Linked DNA regions of Mus musculus. The protein of the gene in region 6 interacts with the protein of the main gene of each other region in a pairwise test. Links are inferred from orthologs where the notes say so. Each region holds a gene or a part of one and is shown on either strand. Other genes may lie near its edges.

What was found.
Region 1: the proteins of Cep70 (region 6) and Yju2 interact in a two-hybrid assay, tested with the Homo sapiens proteins (2 studies listed by BioGRID and IntAct). The two-hybrid records come from large-scale screens. The link is inferred for Mus musculus from reciprocal best matches to the Homo sapiens genes CEP70 and YJU2.
Region 2: the proteins of Cep70 (region 6) and 2310033P09Rik interact in binary tests that used the Homo sapiens proteins (3 or more experiments, as listed by UniProt). The two-hybrid records come from large-scale screens. The link is inferred for Mus musculus from reciprocal best matches to the Homo sapiens genes CEP70 and C1orf35.
Region 3: the proteins of Cep70 (region 6) and Sytl4 interact in binary tests that used the Homo sapiens proteins (3 or more experiments, as listed by UniProt). The two-hybrid records come from large-scale screens. The link is inferred for Mus musculus from reciprocal best matches to the Homo sapiens genes CEP70 and SYTL4.
Region 4: the proteins of Cep70 (region 6) and Lamtor5 interact in binary tests that used the Homo sapiens proteins (3 or more experiments, as listed by UniProt). The two-hybrid records come from large-scale screens. The link is inferred for Mus musculus from reciprocal best matches to the Homo sapiens genes CEP70 and LAMTOR5.
Region 5: the proteins of Cep70 (region 6) and Gpatch4 interact in binary tests that used the Homo sapiens proteins (3 or more experiments, as listed by UniProt). The two-hybrid records come from large-scale screens. The link is inferred for Mus musculus from reciprocal best matches to the Homo sapiens genes CEP70 and GPATCH4.
Region 7: the proteins of Cep70 (region 6) and Fam161a interact in binary tests that used the Homo sapiens proteins (3 or more experiments, as listed by UniProt). The two-hybrid records come from large-scale screens. The link is inferred for Mus musculus from reciprocal best matches to the Homo sapiens genes CEP70 and FAM161A.

The regions. Positions count from the first base shown.
Region 1 is NC_000083.6:55,957,991-55,961,986, reverse strand, and holds the start of Yju2 (splicing factor YJU2), read right to left. Parts: upstream 2,801-3,996; 5' UTR 2,750-2,800; coding exon 2,726-2,749; exon of another isoform or gene 2,586-2,725; intron 1,275-2,585; coding exon 1,174-1,274; intron 1-1,173.
Region 2 is NC_000077.6:59,206,942-59,211,160, forward strand, and holds 2310033P09Rik (multiple myeloma tumor-associated protein 2 homolog), read left to right. Parts: upstream 1-1,419; 5' UTR 1,420-1,487; coding exon 1,488-1,732; intron 1,733-1,878; coding exon 1,879-1,924; intron 1,925-2,027; coding exon 2,028-2,110; intron 2,111-2,186; coding exon 2,187-2,259; intron 2,260-2,366; coding exon 2,367-2,452; intron 2,453-3,031; coding exon 3,032-3,163; intron 3,164-3,285; coding exon 3,286-3,403; 3' UTR 3,404-3,795; downstream 3,796-4,219.
Region 3 is NC_000086.7:133,961,313-133,964,812, forward strand, and holds part of Sytl4 (synaptotagmin-like protein 4), read right to left. Parts: intron 986-3,500; 5' UTR 923-985; coding exon 813-922; intron 587-812; coding exon 371-586; intron 1-370. UniProt on the Homo sapiens protein: Modulates exocytosis of dense-core granules and secretion of hormones in the pancreas and the pituitary. Interacts with vesicles containing negatively charged phospholipids in a Ca(2+)-independent manner.
Region 4 is NC_000069.6:107,277,592-107,281,657, reverse strand, and holds the start of Lamtor5 (ragulator complex protein LAMTOR5), read right to left. Parts: upstream 2,801-4,066; 5' UTR 2,742-2,800; coding exon 2,545-2,741; intron 1,789-2,544; coding exon 1,727-1,788; intron 1-1,726. UniProt on the Homo sapiens protein: As part of the Ragulator complex it is involved in amino acid sensing and activation of mTORC1, a signaling complex promoting cell growth in response to growth factors, energy levels, and amino acids.
Region 5 is NC_000069.6:88,049,606-88,053,105, reverse strand, and holds part of Gpatch4 (G patch domain-containing protein 4), read right to left. Parts: intron 1,945-3,500; 5' UTR 1,896-1,944; coding exon 1,817-1,895; intron 1,434-1,816; coding exon 1,360-1,433; intron 1,262-1,359; coding exon 1,169-1,261; intron 1,075-1,168; coding exon 988-1,074; intron 1-987.
Region 6 is NC_000075.6:99,274,341-99,277,840, reverse strand, and holds part of Cep70 (centrosomal protein of 70 kDa), read right to left. Parts: exon of another isoform or gene 3,196-3,500; intron 2,264-3,195; coding exon 2,094-2,263; exon of another isoform or gene 2,084-2,093; intron 453-2,083; coding exon 396-452; intron 1-395.
Region 7 is NC_000077.6:23,006,965-23,011,146, reverse strand, and holds the start of Fam161a (protein FAM161A), read right to left. Parts: upstream 2,801-4,182; 5' UTR 2,707-2,800; coding exon of another isoform or gene 2,521-2,706; exon of another isoform or gene 2,516-2,520; intron 1-2,515. UniProt on the Homo sapiens protein: Involved in ciliogenesis.

The DNA.
Region 1 (3,996 bases), on a different chromosome or scaffold from region 6:
CTCTGCTCTAGCACCCAGTGGCAGCATATGTACCTTATAGGTAGGAGGGACTGGGTGTATGGAGCTTCTGAGAACTGCCAAGGGGACAGCAGAATCCTGACCCTGGCTGCTCCCCCCACTTCCTGTCCTGGTTTACTGCTGTACCTACAAACACCTCTGGCTTAGTCCTACCTCAGGGCCTTTTCTCTGCTGTCCTGGCAGCCTGAGATTCTAACACTTCCCTGACTGTCCGGCTGGCAGACCACCTGCCCTGCCTGCCTCATGTGTCCTTGTGTTACTACAGAGGATGGGTATGACTCCCACTCCCCACCAGCCTCTGAGGGTCAGGAGGCTCCCCTCGCCCCATCAATGATACGTGCCTGACAACTGCCTGCAGAGGAGTGCGGTGGTGTGGATGAGAATGGTCCCTAAGAGTCATAGATTTGAATGCTTAGTCACCGAGGAGTCTTGGGGGGTCGGGAGGAGGAAGATGATTAGGAGGTGTGGCCTTGCTGGAGAAGTGTCACTAGGGGTGAGTTATGAGGTTTCAGAAACCCACAGCACATCTGGTGTTTCTCTCTTTCTGCCTGCAGATCAGGATGTAGTCTCCAACTACTTCTCAAGCACCATGACTGCCATGTTCCCCACCATGGTGACAATGGACTAACCCTCTGAAACTGTAAGCAAACTCCAATTAGATGCTTTCTCTTCTAAGAGCTCCCATGTTCACAGTGTCTAAGACAGGAGCAAACAAAGAAATGAAGACAAGATATAATCAATTAGTCACACGGACAGCTTCTCCATCCTCAGTGACTGTACAGGTGTGACTTACAGGATTGTGATTCTCACACACAGTCAAGTGTGAATAACTGTCTGGTTCAAAGCTGGTTGAACCCAGGAAAGTGGGGGTGAAGGTCTAAGAGGAGGCTGGCAGCCTGCCTGGGATGAGATGGGAGACAGGCTCTGTCAGAGAAGCTGGCTACAAGAGATCTGCAGGCAGATGCCATAGGTGGTGCAAAGGCCCTGGGCAGGAGGAGGGCTGCCACTAGAGGGTCCAAAATCCTGCAGGGCCAAGTGTCACTCTGATTTTCTACTGAGATAGGGGTTGGGGACTCTGTGAGGGTGGGAACTATTATCTTTGTTTGTTGTTTCTCCAGAGAATCAGCCTCCAGCCTCATGTCCCCAGGGATTCACCTCATGTTGAAGGGGGCCATCAGACGCACCACATACTGCCGGTCCTTGGGTAGCTTGAGTTTCGGGATCTTCGATGGGTCAAAGTCAGGTGGGTAGTATTTCTGTGGAGAAGAGGGCGTTGCTGTTTTCTGGTGCTCAGGTCCCATACGGGCAGGAATGGGGTCTGAGAGCCATGTTAGCAGACGCAGGATACTCTGGTTTAAGGGATCTATCTGCTCAGGATTCAGCTTGCTGGAGCCTTTCCAGACATGAGCTGTTTGAAGCACAGTCATGAGAAGAGAAGTTGGGACAGGGAGGAGTGCACAAGCTTCCAACACAAATTATATAGTGTGGTGGGTCACTTTCCTACGCTGTGACATGCCTTCTAGGGAAGGTTCTAGAGGCCCAGGGTTTGCAGTAAGGGTGGACCCCTGCTGCCTATCACATGATAAGATTCTAGACACTCATGAGGAAATGGAGGCCCGACATAAATCAGACCTTGTCAATGGTGGCCTAACCTGCACTAGGGTACCACACAGGCTGCAGGGCACCATCCCAGGGCAAAATCTGGCCAGTGAATCTCCTTGGGGAGAACAGGCTCTGGCCTCTCTGTGTGCTTGGGAGGCTGGGGTGAGGCGCACAGGGACAACCACTCTGGGTTACTGGCATGCCAATGTCCAAACCCAGCACCCGGGAATTTGAGACAGGGGGCTGAAGAGAGACAACTCCCCTCTCCCCCAAAAAGAAGCTATGTGGACCACCAACAAGGAGGCTCTGCTTTTGACACCTACTGGCAACCAGGCTCACGAGAGAGGAAGCTTTGCTAATTCAGGCGGTAGACGGGAATGATGGTGTACAACTGTCATACCAGCACTCAGGAGGCTGATGCAGAACTGTGAGTTTACAGTCAGCCTGGGCAGTGCACACAAACGTGCTGCACAGACAGACATGAAGGAAAAACATAAAGTGAAAATAAAACTAATCCTTTAAAAAGTGAATATAGCCCATCTTAGGTGTACAAACTTTTGGTCTGTGAGTTCGAGGCCATTCTGGGCCTTCTGTGTACAGTGAAACCTTAACCCAAAGCAAACATTTAAAAAACAGATCCAGGAAATGGAGAGCAAAATTTTCCAAGAGTGGAGACTGAGTCACCCCAGAAACCCCAACATGATGTAGACATCTCTGCAAAAGGTTTCGGATATTAATTCAACAAAAGCCGGGAAGAACTGAGGTGACCAACAACATCCCCTGATCTGATCTGGGGAAAACCCACAAAGAAGCAGTCCTGCCCCCAATTGGGTAAAGTGACAGAAGCTCCGCTTCCCTGGTGATGATTGGTTACTCACGAAGCTGGGGGGGGGGGGGCGGGGAGAGGGGGAAGCTAACGACCGCCCCCAAAAATGTGATTGGCAAGAGTTTGGAAAGCTCCCGCCCGACTGGAAGACGCGCGTGCGTGTGCGTGCGTGTGCGCGAGAGGGGCTTGCAAAAGGAAATGACCGGAAGGAAGCACGCCTCGCCCGGAGCCCTCGCACACTTCACCCTCTGTAGGAACATTTAGACTCTGAGCACTTACGTTTAAAACTTTCCGTTCCGACATTTTCGCTTCCTGTCCAGCGAACAAGCGAAGAAGCGGTCCTCAGTCTACGGGGAGTTTCTCCGATTCAGCGCCTCAGTGTCGCCACTTCCTAAGCCGGCTCACTGGTTGGTGCCTACCCGCTTCATCGTTCTCATTGGCTGCAATCTTTGTCGATCCGAGTCGGGAGTGCGCTTCCGTTCCCTTCCGGGTGCCGGTAGTTGAAACCCGAAATAAAGGTTCCGGGACATGTGGATCCTGTGTGCGCTTATCTAGCACACTGAAAGGATGGAGAAAGCTGCCTGGGATAATAACATTTTCTCTCCTAACTCTGATCAACAATGCTGTTTGTTTTTTTGAGTCAGAGTCTCACTGTGTGTCCCTGGCTGTCCTGTAACTCACTATGTAGCTCAGGGTGGTCACAAACTAAAGGAGATCCTCCTGCTTGTGAGTTCTGGGACCAAATAATTAAAGGCCACCATGTCCCGTTCTGGTGTTCCTTCTTCTTAAGTTTCTTTATTTCTGCTGCTGGGGATGGAATCCAGGGTCTTTGCATATGCCAGGCAGGCACTCTACCACAGAAAACACCACCCAGCGCTCTAATGCTGGGAGGTAGCCTCTCACTAAGATGCCCAGGCTGGCCTGGAGCAGACTCTGCAGTCCAGCTTGGCCTTAAATTTGAAACAATCTTACTGCAAGCCTGGAATCAGTGACCTGCCTGGTTTTCATTGTGTTTTGTTGGTGGTGGTGGTGGTGTGTGCGTGCGCGCGTGCGTTTCTTCTTTCTTCTCCTTTTTTTTTTTTTTTTTTTTCGAGACAGGGTTTCTCTGTGTGGTCCTGGCTGTTCTGGAACTCACTTTATAGACCAGGCTGGTCTCGAACTCAGAAACCTGCCTGCCTCTGCCTCCCAAGTGCTGGGATTAAAGGCCTGTGCCACCACCACCCGGTGCGTTTCTTCTTTTATGAGAGAGGAACTCACCACGTAATCCAGGCTGACCTTGAAAACTCAGTAGTCCTCCCCTCCCTCTGACTCCCAAGTGCTGGGTTTACAAATAAGAGACACTGTGCCCAACTCTTTTTACTTTTTTCTTTAAAAAATAGTATCTTTGCTGTTGTTTTGTTTTTGTTTTTGAGACAGGGTTTCTCTGTGTAGTGCTGGCTGTCCTGGAACTCAGTCTGTAGACCAGGTTGGCCTCAAACTCAACAAAGATGCGCCTGTGGCTGCCTCTAGTGTTGGGGATTAAAGACATGCACCACCACTGCCAGGCTTAG
Region 2 (4,219 bases), on a different chromosome or scaffold from region 6:
AGCCTTAGTACACACCTTTAATCCCAATGAAGGTAAACTTAGTTAGAAAGAAGCACCCATGTTTGAAAGTGATTTCCAGTGACTCAGGGAGATTTGACAGAATAGGATATGCCTATCTCTCATGAGAACAGAGAGGAAAGAAGTGACTTAGGGGAAAGAATAGGAGAGGGCAGTTTACTGGGACCATTGTACAGAGACAGGTTGCAGAGAAAGAACAAACTAGCCAGGTGAAGACAGAACGAGCCAGAAAATGAGCCAGAGATTAGAACATAATACCAAAGGTCGTATGAGGCCAAGCAGAGCAATTCGGGGGAAGCTGGAAGAAGCCAATTTGAATCATTCAGTGTGGAGGAGTCTGAGCCAGAATAGCTGAGTTGACCACCCAGCTAGATAGAGTTCAGAAGAGCATTAAAGGGTGAGCTTATTCAGCAATAGGTCTCAGAGGTTGAAAACATTCTAGGCCAAGATAAGATTGTATGGAGGCTAGAAGCTTCCAGGACAAGGCCTGGGTTAGCAGACAGAGGCGGTAAGCTTCAGAAATGACAATTACATCAGGCAAATAAAGGATACGTTTCCACTTTATTGTGCAGCTCCCCTTGGGACCATCCATTCATCCCGAGTATGATCTTGTTCTGAGGAATCTGTCCCAACTGTGTCCTCTAAAGCCAGGCCATGACCTCAGGGCTCATACCAAGAGCCTCACAAGCTGTGGCAGGTACTCAACGTGTTCAGGATGAAGACATAAAAATGAGGCTGTCTTGGTCTATTTGGGATGCTAGAGAGTTCCAGGATGGGTATTTTTTCAGACTAGGGATGAAACCCAAGACCATCATGTTAAGCAAGTGATCTGTCATTAAGATGTAGCTCAGTTTCTGTTCATTTTGAGGCGCAGCCTCAGTAAATTGCCCAGTAAAGCTTCACCTGCAGAGAACACAGATCGCTCTGGTTTAGGGATGCTTTGGCTTTCATGTCACATACGCATATTCTGTCACCCAGAGCATGGAAGAGTGAATCCATGTTTCTTTGGTGACTTTATCTGTCCCTCTGTTCCGTGAAGGTTTGCCATTATTTAACTTAGTTTCAACAGTGACCCGGGACCTTTGGAGTTAGCATTCTTGGCTTTCCAGAAAGCAAGGGGCCGGCCCCTCCTGGTGTCACTAAGGTTTTGTAGTGTCCCCTTCCACCGAGATTCCTTCACACGAGAGTTATCAGGTGGGATAGCACAGCCGCCTTTTTGAGGAGCTATTGCGCAGGCGCACGTGGCACTAGGATGAAGGATGCGCCAGAGAAGCCCTGAACGCCCTTTAGAAAGAGGATCTTGATTGATAAGGCCCTCGGATACGCAGTGCGCAGGCGCACGGGCACGTTAGCGAGAGCGCAGGCGCGCGCGGGGGCGCGAGAGTGACGTCACGGCGTGCGTCCGGAGTGCTGCGGGAAGTCCGACTAGAGACCGCGGGTACTGAAGGCTGTGCAGTGGCTCCAGCGCCATGTTCGGCTCCAATCGCGGTGGCGTGCGTGGCGGACAAGACCAGTTCAATTGGGAGGACGTGAAGACTGACAAGCAGAGGGAGAACTACTTGGGCAACTCGCTGATGGCGCCAGTAGGCCGCTGGCAGAAGGGCCGCGACCTCACCTGGTACGCGAAGGACCGCGCGCCGTGTACCGGCCCGAGCCGTGAGGAAGAGCTGGCAGCCGTGCGCGAGGCGGAGCGTGAGGCGCTGCTGGCCGCACTGTAAGTGCCTGGTCTGCGGGGCGACCGCAAGCCCCGAGGGCGGGATCTGGGTGGCCCTGGGGCGGGGCTGGATGTGGGCGGGGCACAGGAAAGAAGGGGACCGAGGGGCCAGACCCTTGATGAGCATTCCTGACCTTTGCTCGCAGTGGTTACAAGAACGTGAGGAAACAGCCCACCGGCCTGAGCAAGGAGGTGAGTCTGAGATATGGGTTCGAGGTCCGCGGGGTGGTTGGGGGGGGGTGGGGGGGTCCGTCTGTCTCGGCCTAGAACCTCCTATCTTACCCTGCTTTCGCAGGACTTCGTGGAGATCTGCAAACGGGAAGGAGGAGACCCCGAGGAGAAGGGCGTGGACCGGCTCCTGGGCTTGGGCAGCGCCAGGTTAGGCTAGTTGGGGAGTCCAGGGTAGGCCTGGGCGGTGATTGAGAACTGTCCTCAAATGCTCTGTCCCCTGCAGTGGCTCCGCGGGCCGTGTGGCGCTATCCCGAGAAGACAAAGAGGCTGCCAAACTTGGGCTGTCAGTGTTCACGGTAAACCCTGTCAAGCCCAATGCACAGGATCCTGGGGTTTAGAGGTGTCTGAGATGTGGGGCAGGATTCCCTGGGTGTTCCTCACCACGGCTACTCATGTCATACAGCACCACCGTGTGGACAGCGAAGGCCCAAGCACTGCCCCAACTGCTCCCAGGAAGAAGCCTCGCGCTGAGGACAAGGTCGAACCGGAGTAAGTTGAGTCTGCCTCCCTGTGCATAAAGGGGCAGACTGCCTTAGCTCTCTTAGTTTGACTGAAGTAGGCGGACCTCCATCTCTGGGCTGGAGTCTCAGTAGCTGCCATAGGTGACCCAGCAGGGTGACGCTCAGGACCATGATACTGGCCAGTTTGGTGGGAGGTGCTTGTGGGGTGGGCGGCACACAACTTTCTTTAATCCCAGCATTTGGTAGACAGCAGGCTGATCTCTCAGAGTTCTCACAAGCTGGTACGTGTGTCTGGTTACTTCTACTTTTGTGTCATCTCAACTTTGTACCTAGGTAAAATAGTGAGTTCCAAGCTAGACAAGGCTGCATAATGAGAACTTGTCTCCAAGGAGAGAGGAGGCTCACCAGGTTGGCAGCATTCCAGCACTCATCTTTGTGGCCATGGAGCCTAATAAGCTCATTTATAAATATGAACTCCCGACATGTAGATATTATCAGTGCACAATGGATCCTGTTCTAGTCTGCCTTTCCCTGCTGGGTGAGACTACCCCACAGTCGAGTAGACACGAGTCCTTCAAGCTCGGATCCTTTGTATTGTTTCTTGCAGTGCAGAGAGCCATAAGAAAAGCAAGAAAGAAAAGAAGAAAAAGAAGAAGAAACACAAGAAACACAAAAAGAAGAAAGACAAAGAACATAAGAGGGAGGCTGACAGCTGCTCCTCATCTCCCTCTCCTCCCCGGTAGGCTAGGCCCAACTCTACCTGGGACACTAAGGAAATGGGAGGCAAAGCTAGCCAGGCCTGGTGTGGTGCTTGGCAGGGTGAGGGACCCTTTAAGTGTCTGGTTGTCCTTGTCTTTGTAGGCCCAGACACCAGAGACATTCTGACTTCTCTCCCTGCTCTAAGAGGAAGCGGGAACATAGCCAGGACAGTGGAAGGAATCCATCCCGCAGACGACAAGACAGAAGCTCTGATGACTGAGAATGGCTACACCAAAGGACACCAGAGCCCTGGATGCCAAGTAGCTACCAGCCCACTCCCTACCTGCCCAACTAACTGTCCCTCTGTGGCTGGGATAAGGCAGGTGGCTGCTCCCCAACAGGATCCTGAGCCAAGCTTGCTGGATCTTAGGATCTATCTTGCCATTTGGAGGCAACTACTCCAGGTCATAGAGTGGGTCCTGGGTTACCAGTCTAGTGGTTCTAAGAGGGTAGTGCTCTTGCCTTGTCCCCCTGCCAAGGAGGATCTAACTGCCCAGGAGACTGTCTCTGCTGCCACAGGCCAGGCCCTTGAGGTTAGGGTGCGTGTTACTGATTACTCCTTTTTTGTGTGTGTATCAGCCCACTTTGTACTTAAGTAAATGTATTTTAAAAGTAGAGTGTATATTATCTCGCTGAGGACAGGTTAGGCTGGGAGCATGGGGCCCCCTTCCAGTATATATTAAGGGAACTGGGTCTAGGGACCAGAATCCTGTCCTTGAGGCTGCCTTACAACCATACAAGTGGCCAAGAAGTTGGAAGAACAAACTTTTGTGATCTGAAGGCATCTGCTGTCTCCCTAAGAGGTTCAACAGCCAGATAATAGCAAGACAGTAGAAATTAGGGCTGCTACAGTATAGAAAGTTCTGATTGTAAAAGCTATTGTGCTGTGAATGCATACTTCTGGGCAGACCCCAAAATGTCCTGAGACTCATGCTGTTGCTTCTATGAAGACCTGTGCCCTGCAGGTAGCCACCTAAGCATGAGAGAAGACTAATTATCTAAGACCTCAAGGGGGTGAAGGTCAGTCCACTTAGGC
Region 3 (3,500 bases), on a different chromosome or scaffold from region 6:
CCCTGGGCAGGTGATCCTTCCTGGCTTCTACAGGAAAGCAGGCTGAGCAAGCCATGGAAAGCAAGCCAGTTATCAGCGCCCCTGCATGGCCTCTGCTTCAGCACCTGCCTCCAGGTTCTCGCCCTGTTGGAGAGTTCCTGCCCCAACTTCCTTCAATAATGAACAGCAACCTGGAAGTGTAAGCCAAATAAACTCCTTTTCTCCCAAATTTGCTTTTTGGTCATGGTATTTTGTCACAGCAATAGAAACCTTAAGTAAGACCTGTAGAAACAATGACTCTTGTCACTCAACTAACAAAATTGATGAGAGAAAGTCTCAGGGCAGCCCGACATATGTCCCCCTCTTTATGCTGCCACGAAGTGATACTCACATCTCCTTCGAGCACACCTTGCACCTCCAAGAGCCATTGCTTTCCAGAACTCGGCATTCTCGGCACACTAAATGATTGCAGCCCACACAAGTGCTGCTTTTGGGAATTAAGCGGCCCAGGCCCTCCTGGCACCTGGCACAGGTTCGATCACTATAGTGTTGGCTGCCCCTTTTGGCCCCTTTTCTTTTGATCTCCAGGAGCTCATTCTTCAGTCGCCTGCCAAGACAGGAAAGAGAAGCACAAGTGGGTTCAGGATGTACAGAAGTGGAGAGGATGCCAGTAAGACCACTGTGTTCTGTACAAGCAACAAATGCAGAGCCCAGCAGTCCTACGCAGCTTTAAATCATTTACTCGATGCCGACAATGAATGAAGAAACAACTGAAAAGCTTGAGTCTCCTTGGTTGAAAGCCTGCAAGGGCTTAGTATTTCTGGGCCCCTTACCGAATCCTTTTCTCATCTGCTTTTCTGAGTTCTTCATCTCTCTGCAGAACACCGAGGATCAAATCCCTTTCCATCTCGGACAGAAAAGAGAGGTCTAGTATCTCCGACATGGTGGCTTTAGGCTCCTCCTCTTCCTTCAAAGCAACCTGGGCAAGAAGAGTGACCAGATGTGTCTAAAATAAAAAAGCAGTTAATGTCATGAAGATTATTAACTGCAGAGTCACTGCCCAGCCCTAGAACATTTCCCCCCCCCAGGCTACCTTCTTCTTGAGTTAAAGCTAAAGAGACAAAGTAGAAAAAAAAAAAGTTTGCGATTCATTATTTCTACTTTCACATTTGAACCCCTGGCCTAGAATGATTTTTATTTTTTCAAAAAATTACTCATGACTCTGGAAAGTGGCTGGGTCATTCAGAATAAGCATCTTAGTCAGGAAGGATTATAAGGCAGCTAAGTCAAACTCTCCCTCCAAGAAGGCCGCCCTCATCATCATCCAACTTTTATTATTGTAAGTGTTCTCAACTCTCAATTCTATTAACTCAGATAGTCAGGTAGGTGGTCTCTAGATTTAAGGGGGCTGCCAGTTTAAGCTGAATTCTCCATCCCTGACTTGTTCATGTGTTCCTGGAATTTAGTCATCTTCCTAATAATGCTTCAAAAGATTCTACCACCCCCGCTACCTCCCAAATAACAGGCACTACCTCTGCACTTGAGAACAGCTTCTCCCATTAAATTAGCATTTGTTGAGCACCACTCTGTGAAAGCACTGGGGACACCGAGATGAATAAACCACAGTCGCTGAGTTCCAGAAACTTACACATGAACACAGTACTTTGTGCAAGTGCTATCAAGAAATTTTAAATTAGATCTATGGAAACTTACAGAAGTATCTAATTCTGTCATACATAGACAGGGGAGGGAGGAGAGAAAGAGACAAAAAAAAAAGAGAATGCTATTTACATGTGAGGATTTTCACAGAGGATATGGATTTCTGCCTTATTTAAATGAGTGTTGTTTTAAAGTGTCTGTGTGTGTGTGTGTATATATCACGTGCATGCAGATACAAGGGGTATGATACCAAAAGAGGGCACCAGATCTCACAGAGCTGGAGTTCTGGGCAGTTGTAAGCCAATCCCATGGGTGCCGAGAACATAACTAGGAGAACATAACTCTGGGAGAGTAATAGGCATTCTTATTCAGCATCATCTCTCTAACCCTATGAGTGCATTTGTTGATAAAGGAGAATGAAGGGAAAGATGGGTTGGAGTCTGAAGCCCTGGGTTCGATGCCAGCAGCTTAACAGCAAAGTTAACAGCTGGCTCACACCTGTAAACCCCGCCCCGAGCACTCTGGAGGCACACACAGGAAGATCACAATTCAGGGCTTTCTTTGCTCCACAGAAGGTTTAAGGTCAACCTAGTTTACATGACAGCCTGTCTCAAAAAATTAAAACCAAATTAATTAGTAAATGTATAAACAAGTTGAGCATGAAAAGAAACTTGATTTAAATGGCATATAAAAACTATATATTGAGCTGAAAGTATTCTTCTTAAGCACACTTGGAATATTACACACACACACACACAAGAACTAATCATGTACTAGAAAAGTCTCAATAAATTAAAAGGCCTAAGTTTTAACAAATTAAAAATTGTATTTGAGTTCAAGGACATTAAATAAGAAGTTAATTTTAAAGGTTAATTCTAATCTCAATACTGTCTGAAAATTTGCCAGACACTTCTAATTAACTCATAGGTCAAAGAAGACCTCATAATAGATTAACCATGTCTTTAATATCTTAGCAAATAAACCTGCCTTTTGCTTCACCTCTGCCACCATGGCTGTTTGCATATTACGAGATAAAATATTCCCTAGGGATTCAAAAGGGACTATATGGAATGAAAAGTAATGCTTTCCTATGCAATGCATTAAGCAATAACAGTTTAGGGCAAATGATAACATCATATTTTGAAAAACAGAATAAAGAAAAACAATAGAGGCATAAACACAGAAAGACAACGTTTTCTAAAAATTTATGGCCACTCATATACTCTCAAGTTATGGATAGGAGAACTTCCTAATGGAGACATCAAAGTCTAAAAGGACTTACTATACTCCTTCACTCCCATCCAGACGTAAATGTCAAAAGGGCCAAGTCACTGCTAAGATCACTTGTCAAAACTTGAGCTCGTTTGTTCTATGTAGTCACATAGTGTCAGTTTTCATTGATAATAACATTTTGGTAGGGCCTAGACCCAGAACAGTCGTCTAGAAAAGGCAACTTTTTTAGTAAGGAATTGCATGCATTTATTGCTAAAGATGAGGATAATATTCCAAGTGAATAGCAAAGCAAGGGAACTGTAAATGGCGCCATCAGGACAGAAAGTTGACATATGTCCCAATCAATAATAGTTCTAGCAGAAAAAGTAAAAAGTATATAGGCAAGTTGAACAATAATTTTGATTTAGTGGGCATATTTAGAATCTATACCCTGATCCTATAGATTAAGAAATAATAATGTAGGAGAATTAATGCTAACTCCAACAAAACTAGGTTTTAAGAAGAGAAGGAAGAAGCTATCTCTTTGTTGTTGTTGTTGTTAATTCTTCTCTCATATATTACAGACCAACCACAGTTTCCCCTCTCACCTCTCCTCCGAGTTCCCCTCCCCCACCTCCCCTCTCCTCTAG
Region 4 (4,066 bases), on a different chromosome or scaffold from region 6:
ACCTTCTCAAGCATATAAGGAAGCTGTAATTCAAGTCATCTGATGGTAGTAACTATTTTATAGGAACCTTGCTGAAACCAAGAAATTCAAAGGCGAGAGTGACAAAAAGCATTCAGTATGGATAAGGGGCTTGTTGATGCTAATTAATTCCTTATGGGAAATCTGAGTTTCTCTTCCTATGCTCAATCTCAAAGAAGCAGCCATTACTCAGAAGTCCAGTTGTAAGATCACCTTGCCAGCATATGTGAAGACCTGTGAGCAACTATTTCTGCTAGCAGAAGCTAGCTGGGCTCCTTTCAAATGTCCCCCGAGTCTTTACTATTACTTTGACTTGTATTAACTAAATCAGGCTCTAGGCACAAAAGGTAACCACCAAGCTTATTATAGATCCCTGAAATAAAGGGGTTTACTTACACCTAAAACTAAGGTAGTAGACAATATAACCTGGCAGAAATTCTGGATTGACTATTACTACATAAAAAATCCGTAGGCCAAAGTGCAGCCCGGAAATCTATTGGAAATAGCAACTTCGCACCTTGAAGGTTTTACTTAGTTTTTTTTTTTCCTCCACATTTGCATTTAAAGAGTTTTCATTAGTAACTTGGCAAATGCTTCAAAAAAATTTACCTTTGTTCCAAATGGCTGCTTTTTGTATAAGACATAACTATATTACTTTTGTCAGGTATCATACCAGCAAAAGATCAGAGCTCTAAAAAACCTGCATCAGTTATAAGGATTCTTGGGTTTACTAGTTTCTGACATTAATTAACTTTAGCTATTTACCTTTCTGGACTTAGTTCCTTATCTGTAATTGCTACAATTTATTGAACACCACACAAACACATCTTGGTTCTGTACTGGGTGTTTTAAGCTTTGGAGCCAGCTTTAAAAACATCCTATCTCAACCATTCATTAGGTGTTTGACCCTGGGCAAGGTACTTTTAAGCTTGCTAAATTTCTTGACCATAAAGGGCTTTGGTGGGGGGGGGGGGGCAGGAAGGGGGGTTATGTACGTTTTATAATGAAAACACTAAGAATAGTGCCTGGCTGGGCATGGTGATGCACACCTTTGTTCCCAGCATTCAAGGGATAGAGGCAGGCAGATCTCTGTGAGTTACAGGCCAGCATGGTCTACAAAGTTTGTTCCAGGACAGCCAGGGCCACGTAGAATAAGTTTTTAAAAAAAAATGTCTTAAGACAACACACACATAATGTATGTATGAAATAAAATAACCCAATGAAGAAACTGAAGCCCCAAGAGGCTCCTTCTGTTCGGCACTCATGTTGCTAGCAGACAGCATCGGAGAATGGGGTTGAAGTCAGACGTGTCTAACTAGGAAATCCCTATTTTTACTGACAATAACTTACTGTTGAGAGTGGCTGGACTAGCAGCCAGCATCATCCATTTTCAGGGTTATTGAGGCAATTAAGGAAATAGTGTAGCCTGACTGTGCCTGCACAGGGAATGCATTCAGTAAAGATGTCCTTATCTAAAGCCCTTTTCTAGACCACTTAAAATTTATTCAAAACCATTTTAGTAGGAACAGTTGTAGAACTGGGAGGAACATTTCTGCCTTTAAAATGCAACTGAAAGGCTTCAACCATCTACTCTTACTTGGAGATAGTCTCTATGCCCTAAAGGTAACAGGAATAAAAGCTAGAAAATAGTAGCAGTGTAAGTTAAGGCTCTCAGAACTTCAAAGGGAGGCTGGTAGGAGACACTTACAGCCCAGATTAAGTCCTTGTGAATCTGTGCATAGGACTCCAACAATGGATGGATTCTTCATTCTAATTTTGGGAGCACAAGAAAGATGAACCAGATGATGTGAAGAAAATATTTCAAATTACTGTAGTAAAACAGATTTTCTATGCACCGAGTATTAAGCACTTCAAATCAGCCCTTAAATTTTTTCGCCCCCTTTCAGAGGACAAACTGTGAGTTGTTTAAATAAACAAAACAAAACCCAAACCATTTTCTCAGGCACCTCTGCTTCACAAAGACACAAACAAGGCAGTTATCTTTAGGGCTCTGTCCTTGGTATAGAAGCATGCTCTAGGACTGCAACTCCTGAAGACAACTGTTAAATCTCAGTAACGGGAATTGCTCCTGGAGGGGATTAAGAAGCTCAAGGAGGAGGTGTCTTCTTGTAAGCCACTTTACACCTCCCAATTTTAAATTTTACAGAGATAGCTGAAAAACTTTACGGATATATTTACTTCACAAGCGCTGAGCAACTGACGGGCCACAAACGCGGGAAGATGTGCGTGAAAGTGCTTTGGCACTGCGGGGGCTCGATTTAGCACACCCGGGGCATCCTTCCCCAAACTTAATCCGTTTCCCAAACTTCTCAAGAGCTACTCGATTCTGCGAACACGCCTAACGAAACTTTACTACCCAGTAACGAGCGGCCCGGCCGTAGGCAGAAGTCACCCGCTCGCCGCCCCGAGTGCCCCAAACGCTTCCGCAGACACTCGCGGTCCATGCCGCTGTCCCATTCCAGCTCCCCTGTCCGGAGCCCAGGACCGGCCGCACGCACTACTCACGTGTCCTCCAAATGCTGCTCCAAAGTCGCCTCCATCCCGCAGGCTGTCCGCCCCAGGCCAGGACCCCGCAGCAAAACACTTCCTCCTTCACCGCAAACCTCGATCACGTGACTTGACCGAGGCGGGCGCCTGGACGGCGTCTCCAGAGGGACGAAATTCAGCGCGGCGCCGCGTCCGCGCTCTTTACGAAAAGGCATAGCTACTACCACAGGACCAGTGATGGCTGGCTTTCGATTGGGGGTGCTGGGCCTTCAAAGCAATCTGTAGTCGGGCCTCAGGGCCTTTTCCTGACCTAGCACTTGGACTTAGTGATTTTTAACCTTTGGATTTGGTTCAAGCAATTTCCAGTCCTAACCAGACGTAGACCTGGTTTAAATTTTAAAGTAACCAGCAGGTCTGGCATGGTCTCATCTATGCAATAGGCCAATCGCTAAGAAGACAGTGCTCAGTTTCTGACCCTAGGTCAAGAGGCTGAGGTGTATACTTTACCTATCAAAGCAGAACTGGCCTCCAGGTTCTGCATCCCTCAGTTCCCACCTGGCATACCTTGCCCCCAACCCTGAACTTTCCAGCCCAGGGGCTGGGCTGCCCTTCCCTTTCTATAGGGCTCCTTTCTATAGAATCCAGACATTTTGGTCTCCTTCTCCTTTTCTCTCTCTGCACACATTCCCCCTTCTCTCTTTCTTCCTTCCTTTCCCAGGAAACTTCGCTGGCCTTGGTCCTTGGGGCCAGTGAACTCACCCACCGGCTGGCAGCTTCCCAATAAACCTGCCTTTAACATCATCTACTCTGGTTTAAATTGATTCATTTCACCAACATCGGAGGAGAAGTAACCTATCACACAGGGCCGATGGGGAGGGGTGCACACACGGGACTAAAGGAAGAGATGGCACACGTTGAAACCCCAAACTGCGTGCTGGGAAAGTGTCAGAATCTTAACATTGGTACCTTCTTTGTTCTCGTAGGTTGGCCTCGAATTCTCCCACCTTTGTCCTGTGATTTACTGCCATGTGCCATATTTAATTTGCATTGATACTTCTAATAGCTAGGTCATGGGAAGTTTTAGGGGGAAGAAATTAGGTTTAAGTTTTAGGTGTTAGTGAAGACCGTGTATTATTACTTTAAAATAACTGAGCTTTAAAATTTTTATTCCCTTTTCTGTTTTAGAGACAGTATCTCATATACCCCTCATTGCCCTCAAATTTGCAGTGTGTCCGAGGCTGGCCTTGAAGTATTGATCTCTCTGCTTTTACTTCCCAAGTGCTGGGATTACACCAACATGCCTGGGTTTAAAAACTTTAGAATAAACTAACCACTCATAGTCCTACTGTGAAGAGATGATAGTTTGATAAGGATATTTTGGAGACTATCTTTTCCATATGGCTATCTTTGCAAATGTATTATTTGAATTTTTTTTGTTTTTTGTTTTTTGTTTTTTTTTTTTTTTTGTTTTTCGAGACAGGGTTTCTCTGTGTAGCCCTGGCTGTCCTGGAACTCACTCTGTAGAGAAATGTTTTTTAAA
Region 5 (3,500 bases), on a different chromosome or scaffold from region 6:
GAAGAGAAGATAAAGAATAGAAAGAAAAGGAAGTAATGTTATTGTTAAAGCATGGGATTCCTTGAGGCAAGTTTGACCTTCACTGACAGGGCATCTGATTCCTTTTTCCTTCTTTGTGTATGACTACTTAACCAACCACAATAACAACCCACAACACCCTTCCTCTGGGGCCTAGCATTTATATACCCTCTGAAAAATCCCCAGAATTCCAAACATCACAGAATCGAAGAAACTACTTGATGCTGGCAAAACCACACCCTTGCTAAAGCATGAGGCAAATCATAGTCAGCTGCTGACTGCAATCTGAAGCAGCCCCCCATATCCCACACCTGAGATGAAAACAAAAACATATGTCCATATTTCTGTGTTTTTCAAAGAAACTGAAGTTCTTATTACATAATACGATGTGTTTTAGAGAGAACCCTATGGATGCTTTGAAGGTCACTGACTGTGGTGGAGAGTGAGGATAGAGGCAGAGGCTCTTAAAGAGGCAAGGACTGCCCGAACCGAGTAGATGTCAAGATGTAGAAACTGGGAGGGGATGCTGTGTGAAGCCCTGCACACAGAATCTGTGCTACTAACTGCCGGCTTCTGTTCTTTTTGCCTTTATTCATCAGCTGTGGGCTCTTCTGAAAACCATTTTTACTCTTTGGTTCACATATGTAAAATAAGGGTGGACCAGGCAACCTCACAGGACTCTCCTGGCTTCTAACTCTTTTAAAATTATACATCAACATATCCCACCCCAGCAGCTCCTAACTAAATGACAGCCCTCCCTCTCACTGTACGCTGCTGCTTCCCCAGCAGATGGGATTGTCCATGAACCTTAACATTTCAGTCTGGGTGAGGGCACGGGCACAGCAAGGCTGGGCACGGGATCTCGGTGTACTGGGGTATCCTGGGAATTAGTTGGACACACAATGCAGTTGATCAGGACCCAGGGAGACAGACGGGAGCAGTTGAGAGCTGGATCTCTCACTCTATTACCTTCACAAACTTCTGATACAGCAAGCTGGGTTTGGGGTGACTGCGCTGGGTGGTCTCCTTGGAAAGACGTCTTATCTGCACTCCATCCTGTTGGGAAATATCGGTGAGAGAGTGGCGTGCTGTAGTGCCCTACCCCACCCCAGGCCTGCAGGTTTCTTCAATATACCCGACAAGTTCATACCTTCCCCGAGTCCACTACCAAGCTGGCGGCAGTCTTGTTGAAGAGATCACTCCACCAGTGGTCTGTAAATTCCTTGGCAGGGTCATGTCCCACCTCCATGTGAACAGTAAGTAGAAGTCACAGTCTGAGCACCGCCCACTGGCCCTCATGGGTCCCCTCTCCCATTCATGCTGACCACCTCCCAGTCTTACCCCATGGTTATCTTGCTTCAGTGTCACCTTGAGGGCCTGGGTAATGCCATTCTCCCTCCGGCCCAGGCCCTTGCCTGTAGAGGAGAGTGAGTGACTTATTTTGTAGCCTGACCTGAGCCCTCACCAAGTCTTCCTGGGCTAACCGCCATTCCTTTACTGATCACAGAGTACACTCTGAACCTTTCAGAAACCTACCTCTCTCCATTCCTTCTAGGCTTACTCAGGAACCCGTCTGAGGGAGAACTATCTTTTCTATCCCCTTGTGGCCTCCTCTAGTTTGTCCAACCACTTGCCCCTCATCCCTCGTTATCCAAAATGAGGATTTCGCCCATTCTTCCCTAATCCAGATGGGTCAGAAAACGTATGCTTCTAAAGGTTCTCTTTAGACTAGTGTCCCCTCTGGCTGAACTGGCATGGGGCAGCAGAGAGTAGGGAGCGGGAGGATATGGAAGAACACCTTGAGTCCATCCATGCTTCAGCAGCTGCTCTTCAGCAAACTTCATCCCACGGCTCTTGACCTCTGGGGTGACACTCATGGCAGGGTCTGTCCTCAGGTTCTCACCAGGGAAAACATGGCACTATCCTCTGAATAGGGAAAGAAAGGACTGGAGGTGCACCTTAGATAGCAGGGTGCTTCACTAGCACACGCAAAGCCCCAGGCTTCAACCCCAGCATCATGTAAAATAAGGCATGCTGGCCCACACGCGTAATCCCAGCAGATGGAATGTGGAGGCAAGAGGATCAGAAGTTCATATCATCTACAACTATACAGAGATGGTTGAAGCCAGCCTGTGCTATATGAGACCCTAAATAAGTAAAAAAGAAAGGAAGGGGTGGTAGTGTGGGCTAGGGCTGTCCTTAGTATGCCTTAGGAGGTAGAATGCTTGCCTAACATGTGTGAGGTCCTGGGTTCAATCCCCAGCATTGTGTAACTAGGTGTGGTACTGCATGCCTGTAATTCCAACTCTGGGGAAGTGGCCCCCGAAGGCTCGGGACTCCAAGGTTGATTGAGTTTGGAGCTCAGGACCAGAATGCTTAAGACCCTGTCTGTGCCTAAAATACATAAAGCTGTTTGTGTAAGACGTTTCTTTTGTTAAAAAAACAAACAAACAAACAAAAGTTTCTGTGTATGTCCAAGTGTATGTATATGCCTTACATGCATGCAGGAACCAGTTACAGTTGTGAGCTGCCATGTGGGTGCTGGGAACTGGATCCAGGCCCTCTGCAAGAGCAGTAAGTGCTCTTAACTGAACCATCTCTCCAGCCTTGAATTCTTCTTGAGTCCTGAGAGACACCAGGAGGACGACTGTTCTTTGGAGAGTCCTCTCTCTGGTCAAAGGGGCCAAGACCCAACAGGAATCAGGATGAAGGAGGGGTAGTGTTAATACTGATACCTAGATGTGTGGCATAAGCTACACTGAAGCCTTACGAACGTGAAAACTTTCATTCAATCTTGCCACCCTACTCAGGTGACAAAGGAAGCTGAGCCTTAAATAGCTTAGGTGGTGACAGTAATATGGTTGGTATTACTGTCAACATGGCAGGAATTACCTGGATGGCAAGCCTCCAGTTGCACCTATAGACTAATTTAGTTAGCCTCTGAACAGGTCTATGAGAGATTAGCCTGTTTAAGTTAGCTGAAGTGGAAAAACCTCAGTGGCACATTCGTTATCCTTGAGTCCTGGACTAAAAGAAGCTACGGCCAGAAAGATGTCTCAGTGGGTAAGGGAGCCTCCTGTCAAAACCGATGTTTAGTCCTAGAGACCTACTTAAGTACTTAGTGGAAGGAGAAAACTGACTTCCATGGGCTGTCTTCCACCCTTCCTACCCATGCTCATTCTCTCTCTCTCTCTCTCTCTCCCTCTCCCCCCCTTACACACACACACACACACACACACACACACACACCAGCTAGACTAAGTCACACAACTAATGTATGAAGAATTCAAACCAGGAAGCCTGTGTGCAGAGTCTGTTTACGTTGTGCAAACAAAGCTAAGAGGTGTTTGGTAACTTGAGCTAGAGACTGGTACTTAAGAGAGCCTAAAGTCTACACCTATTGTCCAACATTTGCACTGACCTTATGAGGGAGCCAAACCTTCCGCCCACATTACTGCCTTATCAGGCTTTCAGAAGCTTCC
Region 6 (3,500 bases):
TTAAACATGGAAATCCCAGGTTCCCACTTGTTCTACAAAGAATAGTATCACATCACAGTAGCTATCTAATCTTAGAGCAGTATGTTTACTAACTCTTAGAATGTGTGAGGACCAGAAAACTTTGTCACGGGACACAAGAGTGGATGAAAAATACTTGAATGAACAAACAAAATATAAATGGAACATTTCCTGGTCTTTTTAAAAACACACTGTACACATACTGTTGATTCCTAATACTACTTCCAAGTCTTAATAAAAAGACTGAAGAAAAATTGTAGCGCGTAAGTGGCTAACAGTGCAGTGCACAGCACCTCATTTACCCTGCGCTTCAAACTTCTGCGATTACAACAGAAACTTAATGTATAAATATAAAAATAAAATTATATTATTTATACCTTTGTATATGAAGTTTTCTAAGTTTACATTCATAGTAATCAATTAGACACAGCAATCTAGAAAACAAAAAATATGTTCAGTTAGTTTCAAAAGGTAGTATTTACCAAACTTCCTACATAATTTCAAATTACAAAGATAAAAATACAGACTGGGGATGGAGAGATGGCTTAGCAGTTAAGAGAGCATACTGCAGGGCTAGAGAGACTTGCTGCTCTTTCAGAGGTTTAATTTCTAACCTACACAGTGACTCACAATCATCCCTAACTCCAGTTCTAAGGGATCCAATGCTTGCTTCTGGACTCCACAGGCACAGGCTCACATGTGGTACATACATATAGGCAAAACACTCATACATAGAAAATACATTTTAACTTTTTTCTTTAAGACTTATTTATTTATGTGTGTATGTACAACTTGTGTTCAAGTGCCCAGGGAGGACCAAGAAGGGCATCTAATCCCCTGGAGCTAGAGATACAGGCAACTGTGAGACACCACGTGGGTGCTGGGAATAGAACCCTGGTTCTCTGCAAGAGTACCGAGTACTCCCAACCTCTGAGCCACCCCTCCAGGCCTAAACATTTTTTAAAGTATATACTACTCTTGCAGAAGACCCAAGTTCAGTTCTCAGTACACATAGGGTAGGGCAAAGCCACTGTAACTCCAGCCCTGGAGGTTTCCAATGGCTCTGGAAGCACATATACCCACATACATGCATACATACACATTACTCGAAATCAAATCTTTAGCACGGATTGTCTGGCAAACTTAAAATTTTTCAGTAATTCTTGCCAGAAACAAGTATTGCACTGATCTATATCTATATATCTTCTATTACTATATTTATAAGCATGTTTCACTTTATTAAATACATAGTCTTCCTGTCCCAACAATCCTATCTCTGGCAATCTCCCTCATAAATATCTGCCCAAGGCTCAATGGTTAAGGGAACTTGCTTCTCTTACTTGGGACCTGGGTTTGATTCCAGCATACCATATGGACACACACACACACACATACACACACTCAGGTATGTGCACATACTTGCACACACACAAAACTGATAAGTATTTTTTGTTTAGTTTGGATTTTCTTTTTTGAGATAGGTTCTCACTGTATGGCCCTGGCAGGTCTAGAACTCAGCGATCTATCTATCTGCTTCTCCCTCCCAAGTGCTGGAATTAAAGGCATGTGCCACTATACCTACCCATCCATAGTTAATATTTTAAAAATAAATGTCTAGACCCATTCCTCAAGGAGTTGGAGAGATGGTTCAGAGTCTAAGAGCACTGGTTGCTCTTTCAGAGGACAAAGGTTTTATCCCCAGCACCCACAAGATGGCCTACAACTAACTGTCTATAACTCCAGTTCCAGGGGTGTCTGACATCCTTTTCTGGTCACTGCAGGCATGTGGTACATATAAATACATGCAGGCACAACACCTGTATATATAAAGTTTAATAAATTAATTACTCAAAATACTCTTAAAATTATATTCACACACACATGCATGCACAATACAAATATGCACGCGCACGTGTACACACACACACACACACACACACACACACAAAATGATGAACTAGAAAAAAAAGGGGAAAAGGAGATTTCTATAGCAAAAGATCTAACCACCCTCAAGAAAAAAATTAGCTGAAAACAATCCATCTAGCTCCATTATCGTCTTATGTACTAGGCATTACTGTTTATCCAAGACTGAGTGAGGGACTCTTCTGCAGAGATGGGCAAACACTCTGTTCTGAGTGAGGATGCGCTCTTCCTCCTCTTTGGCAAGTCTGTGGATCTCCTTTTGCAAAGAAGCAATGGTCCCCTCTTGCTCCATTCGGTTTTTCTTATATTGCTGGCATTTCATCTGTAAGAACATTGTAAAAGTACGATTATGATCAGACATGTAGGACACGCTGTCTCCTTATACCTGTGTCACCATCTCCACTGAGCTGTTTCATTCAGTAAGTAGCATCAAGCCTGTTTAAAATTGATGCAAGGAATATTACTATGTCACAAACGTGAAAACATATAAAATAAGGGAACTATGTTGACTGCATGCATTCAAGGTTAAATAATCAGTAAGGGTTTTAAGAATTCATATGAAGGGGCTGGAGAGATGGCTCAGCAGTTAAGAGCACTGGCTGTTCTTCCAGAGGTTCTGAGTTCAATTCCCAGCAACCACATGGTGGCTCACAACTATCTGTAATGGGATCTGATGCCCTCTACTGGTGTATCTGAAGACATCTACAATGTACTCATATATAAAAATAAATTTTTAAAAAAGAATCTATATGAAGCCAATATAATTTATTTTAATAGATTTATGAGATTTATGTAGTCCAGGCTGGCTTCCATCTTGTATACTAATATATCAGCCTCTAATTGCTAGGGTTTTGTGTGCACTATTCTCCCTAACTTATATCTAGGTTTAGATAAAAACAATAATCAGGAAGAGACATATATTAAAAATATTTTTAAAAAACCCCCAAAAGAAAATTTAAAAATCAAAAATGATCTGTAGATCACAAATGATGTAGTCAGTTGAGACATCCAGGAAAAGGGGGAAGACTATAAATCCAGAATAGGTCCATAACCAGGAATAATCAGTATGTGCCTTAGATTTATTAAAAAAATATATCACTTTTAAAACAAAACACTCATGGCCAAGTACATGCTCATTTGTCCAAGGCATCAAATTTATTGAAAATTAGCAACCTTCAAAGGGGTAATAGTCTTAGTTGCTGGCAATATACCCTCTCCTAGTGACCATGAAATATACAGTAATCCATTCTTTACCTTGGCTCTCCATGAAACCAGGCATGACCTCAATAGCTAAGTGGTGAACATGCCAGTGTGTAAGTCGGCCAAAACCTAGAAGTAATCATTGAGATGGATAGTGTTCTTGGCATATATTCATTAAACAGTGATGAGATTCATTTGTGTATCATGTATTCTGACAATGCTCACCTCTGTATCTTCATATCTTTCCTTTTCTTCTTCCCCACTGTTTTTCATTCCCCCAGTCTGGCTTCAACTTTCAAGACATGCATGCATACATGCACGCATGTACACTGCAGTAAGCATAGATGTGCAAGTGTCTA
Region 7 (4,182 bases), on a different chromosome or scaffold from region 6:
TGTGTGAGAGAGAGAATGTGTGTGTGTGTGAGAGAGAGAGAATGTGTGTGTGAGAGAGAGAATGTGTATGTGTGTGTGTGTGTGTGTGCGAGAGAGAGAGAGAGAGAGAGAGAGAGAGAGAATGTGTGTGTGTGTGTGTACACCAGAGGTCAGTGACAGGCTTTTTGTCCCCTCAGTGACACAGATACAGACCAGATTAGACCAGATTAGAAGTAGATAAAGGCAGGTTTATTAGGAGGCTGCTCTCAGGTGGGCTCACTGATCTCACAGGTGTGAGAGATCCAGGCCAAAGCAAGGGGATCTTGTAGAGTTTAGGTTGGGAGTGCTGCCATGCTAGCTAGGAGCTGGGATTGTGTCCATGCATGGTCAAAAACTGAGCCCCCAAATGGGCACTCTTGGGCAGGCTGTCTGAAACTCAGAGACAAGGAGCGCTGACATGTTAGCTTGAGTATTCTCCAAGCAGACAGTGGAGATTTCTTTAGGTGGGTGGGGTTGGCAGGAGGGCAGATGTAGTTCCCCAGCTTGTGCAGGGGATAAGCAGGGGTTCCAGGCTAACATCCAATCTTAGCTGAATTCCCTAGCCACTGTCCACTTTATTTTTTGAGGTAGGGCTTTCAGCAAATTCCAGGAATCTGCCTGTTTCTTCTCTCTCCAGCACTGGGATTATAGACAAAAGCCAACACACTGGGTTTGTATTTGGGTGTTGGAAACCCAAACTCAGTTTATAACAAAAATCTTCAGTTAGCAGGGCACTCTGGAACATAAGTACAACTATACAAAGGACAGACCTTTCTGCCGTAGTAAGCCAAAGTATAAATCAATTTCCAAGTGAATTGTTCAAGCTGGCAGTTGTTACAATTACTACTAATTTATGTAAATTACTCTAGAAATGACACCCATTCTCTCCTTTGGTTCTTAATAACAACTGAATAAGGTGGAAAACGGAGACAATTATAGTCCTTTTATAGACAAAGAAACAGAAATCACGGCCTAAGATCACCCAGCACATAGAAGAAAACGGCTTCTGACCCGGGTCCAAGCTCTTGCCTTCCCTGGCATTTCACCTTCTGTAACCTATGACAGGCTGTGTTGAATGATTATCAGGTATAAACCAGTCCTAGGGTTCTGAACCTCATAGCTGGTTAGGCTCTGCTTCACTCTACATAACCTTGAAACATTTGCTACAGGCCAGGCCTGGGGCCCCATACGCTTAATCCCATTACTTGGAAGGTGGAGGCAGGAGGATCAGGAGTTTAAGGTCATCCTTAGCCACAAATAGCAAATTTGAGGCAATCCTGGACCAAAGGAGTCACTGTCTAAAATAAAACAAAAAAGCCGAGGATGTAGCTGTTGGTACACCACTTGCCTAGCAAGCACAAACCCTTCGGCCCACCCCAGCACTGCTAAGGAACAGGGTGTCGAGGGAGCGAGTGCCCGTCCTGGTGCTTTATCCCAGCAGAGTGCTGGTTTAAGTCCAAGGTTCCCGGCTTTTAAAGTGAATAAAAGCTGGGCGTTTTTATTACACACCTTTAAACTCAGGAAGCAGAGGTAGGCAGAGCTCTGTGTGTTTGAGGCCAGCCTGGACTACACAGAGTGAGTTCCAGAACAGCCAGGCTATGTCTCAGAAAACAAACAAAAATTTAAAAGGATGCTAAGATGTTTTAACTGTTAAGAGCACTTGCTGCTCTTGCAGGGGACCTGGGCTTGATTCCCAGCATCCATATGGTAGCTCACAACTCTCAGTAACTCCCAAGGCACACATTCATACACATAAATCTAAAAACAAACACACAAAATGAATAGAACAGATGAAGGAGAGGGGGTGGTTACATTCAAAATATACTGTATGAAATTTTTAAAGAATAAAAGCATTGCTGGAGAGATGGCTTAGTGGTTATAAGTACTGGTTGCTTTTCCAGAGGTAGAGATTATGTGTGTGTGTGTATAATCTCCTCCTCCATATATATCCTTCTGCTAGAAACATATAACACATCCAGGACATAATACTGAAAATGTTTTGTGAAAAGATCTCACTGCACCCATATCATCCCTTTAGGGAACTGGGATTTCGGCGGTTTGTTTATCTGGATGCTTCTCTACATCTGGAGCATCTGTCCACTGAACTTCAAACACGGTTTGCTAATGGACTGCTAAAATCCACTCCTAACAAAAACTGATAAAACACACTTGTCAGTACAACTTATCATCTGAAAGTTGATCTTTTATGAAAACTATGGGCACATCAGTTGTCTTCGGGGGGGGGGGGGGCAAAAATAAATGTAAAAATCAGAACTAAAAAATTATTTATTCCCAAGATATACTGGAGAATAAATAGGAAGTAGAGTTCTGTTCTTTGCATACTCTAGAAATAGCTATAAAAAAACCACTCTCCAATAAAGTTTTGCAGCAACCTTTAGTTGGGGCAGAGAGCAGGGAGGGTCTACAGAGGACACCGCATTTCCACCCGTCCTGCCCGAGACGATCGGACAGCCCTCAGACCCCTCCGGGCTCTCACATTACCGACGCCCGCATCTGCCACACTTTCTTCTGTTCCTCCTCCTCCATGGCCGCCGCCAACCCCGCTGCTACCAAGGACTCTAAGGAGTCTTCGCTTTCGTACTGGGCGACCCTTGCTCCGGTGATGGGATTTGCAGACAGGAGAAGGCTGGCTGCCGCCAGTCTGGCCTCCTGGTGCGGCGAAGCCATCGCCCCGCCTCCAAGCCCAAGCGCCCGCGCCCGCCCAGGGCGGCGTGCAGGCGCTGCCACCTAGCTCACAGATCCTGGCTTGGGGCGAGCGGTTACTAGGGGCTCGGTTACTAGGGACGCTACAGGAGGTGGCGACGGACCATAACGCACGCAACGTCCTTTTTCACTGTCACAAATGCGAACCCCGAGTCCAGCTAGTGTCTAATGATGGTTTCTGATACAAGCCTGCGGTTTCTAGAAGCATAACTGTCTGAAGCTACACAAACGACTACCACAGCAAGCTAAAGTAAAACGCAATCTTCAAGCTAATTGCTCAATGGGAGTCTCACCAGCGCCGGAACAATTACTGATTCACTTGAATGACACCCAGGTCTCCGGCAAGGGACTGAGCTTTTCTCTGGTTTCTAGCTTTATTTCTGTCTAACTACCTAAACGAGAACTTCTCGCGGTATACGGACTTAAAGCAGAAAGCGCGTTTTAACTAGCTGGATCAACATATTAGGGCACAGAGGGACAGGAAGGACCGGGTGTTGGGTGACCATCCCAAGAAAAGAACAGGCTTTGCAGCGCGCTATTCAACATGGCGGAGAACCCAGTTCATCTCTAATTGACAAGAACCAGCGGGTTGACCAATCAGAAGGAGAATACTTATTTGTCCCACCCTCTTTTTTCTCGACTGACCAGTAAGACACTAGACATAGGAAGTGTCTGTCACTCAGACCAGTGAGTGAGATGTGGTAGCTTGTCTAGCGGTTCTGCAGCTAGCTTAGCGGCAGATTAGAGGGGGCGAGAGCCTACAAGGACCACACCCTCCCAGCTCAGCCCTGCCAACCTCCTGATCGGCCTCAGGTTTTTGGCCACTTTGGATGCTTTTTCAGTGAACTCTCAGCCACCTGCAGCATAACACTTTACTTAGAACCCCAGCTAGCGCCCCTGTCCCCACCCTAAGGTTCCAGTACTTTCCACGTTATGCGGCACACCTTCCACAGAACCTGTTTCTGACGCAGTTGTTACCACCCCTTCCTTGTTCCCCTCTGCGAAGCACCTATCACCTTACCTTCCCTGCCTCCTGTTTCAAAACGGTTGAGCTTGCCTTTTCCAACGGAACTGATGATGGATACTGGTTGGTTCTGAAAAGCTAGATGTGGGGAGGGATCCATAGCCATCTGAATGAGAGAATAGTGACTTTCTGCCAGCCACATGCAACTAGTTCTGTGATGGGACTTGGTGTAAACAAGACCTATTGACAGACTGAAGCCCTGTAAGTGGGATGGTTTTAGGAACATGAAATAGTAAATAATGGATATGAAGGACATCAGTGTGTACATAGAATAGGAAAGTTTCGGCTGACAGTATTCTAAATTTGCAGATATCTATTAACACAGCTTTTAAAAAAAAGGTAGATCTGAAAGAAAATGGCACCATTAAAGTGCTTTTGCAGGCCAGCCAGTGGTGGCGTATGCCTTTAATCTTAGC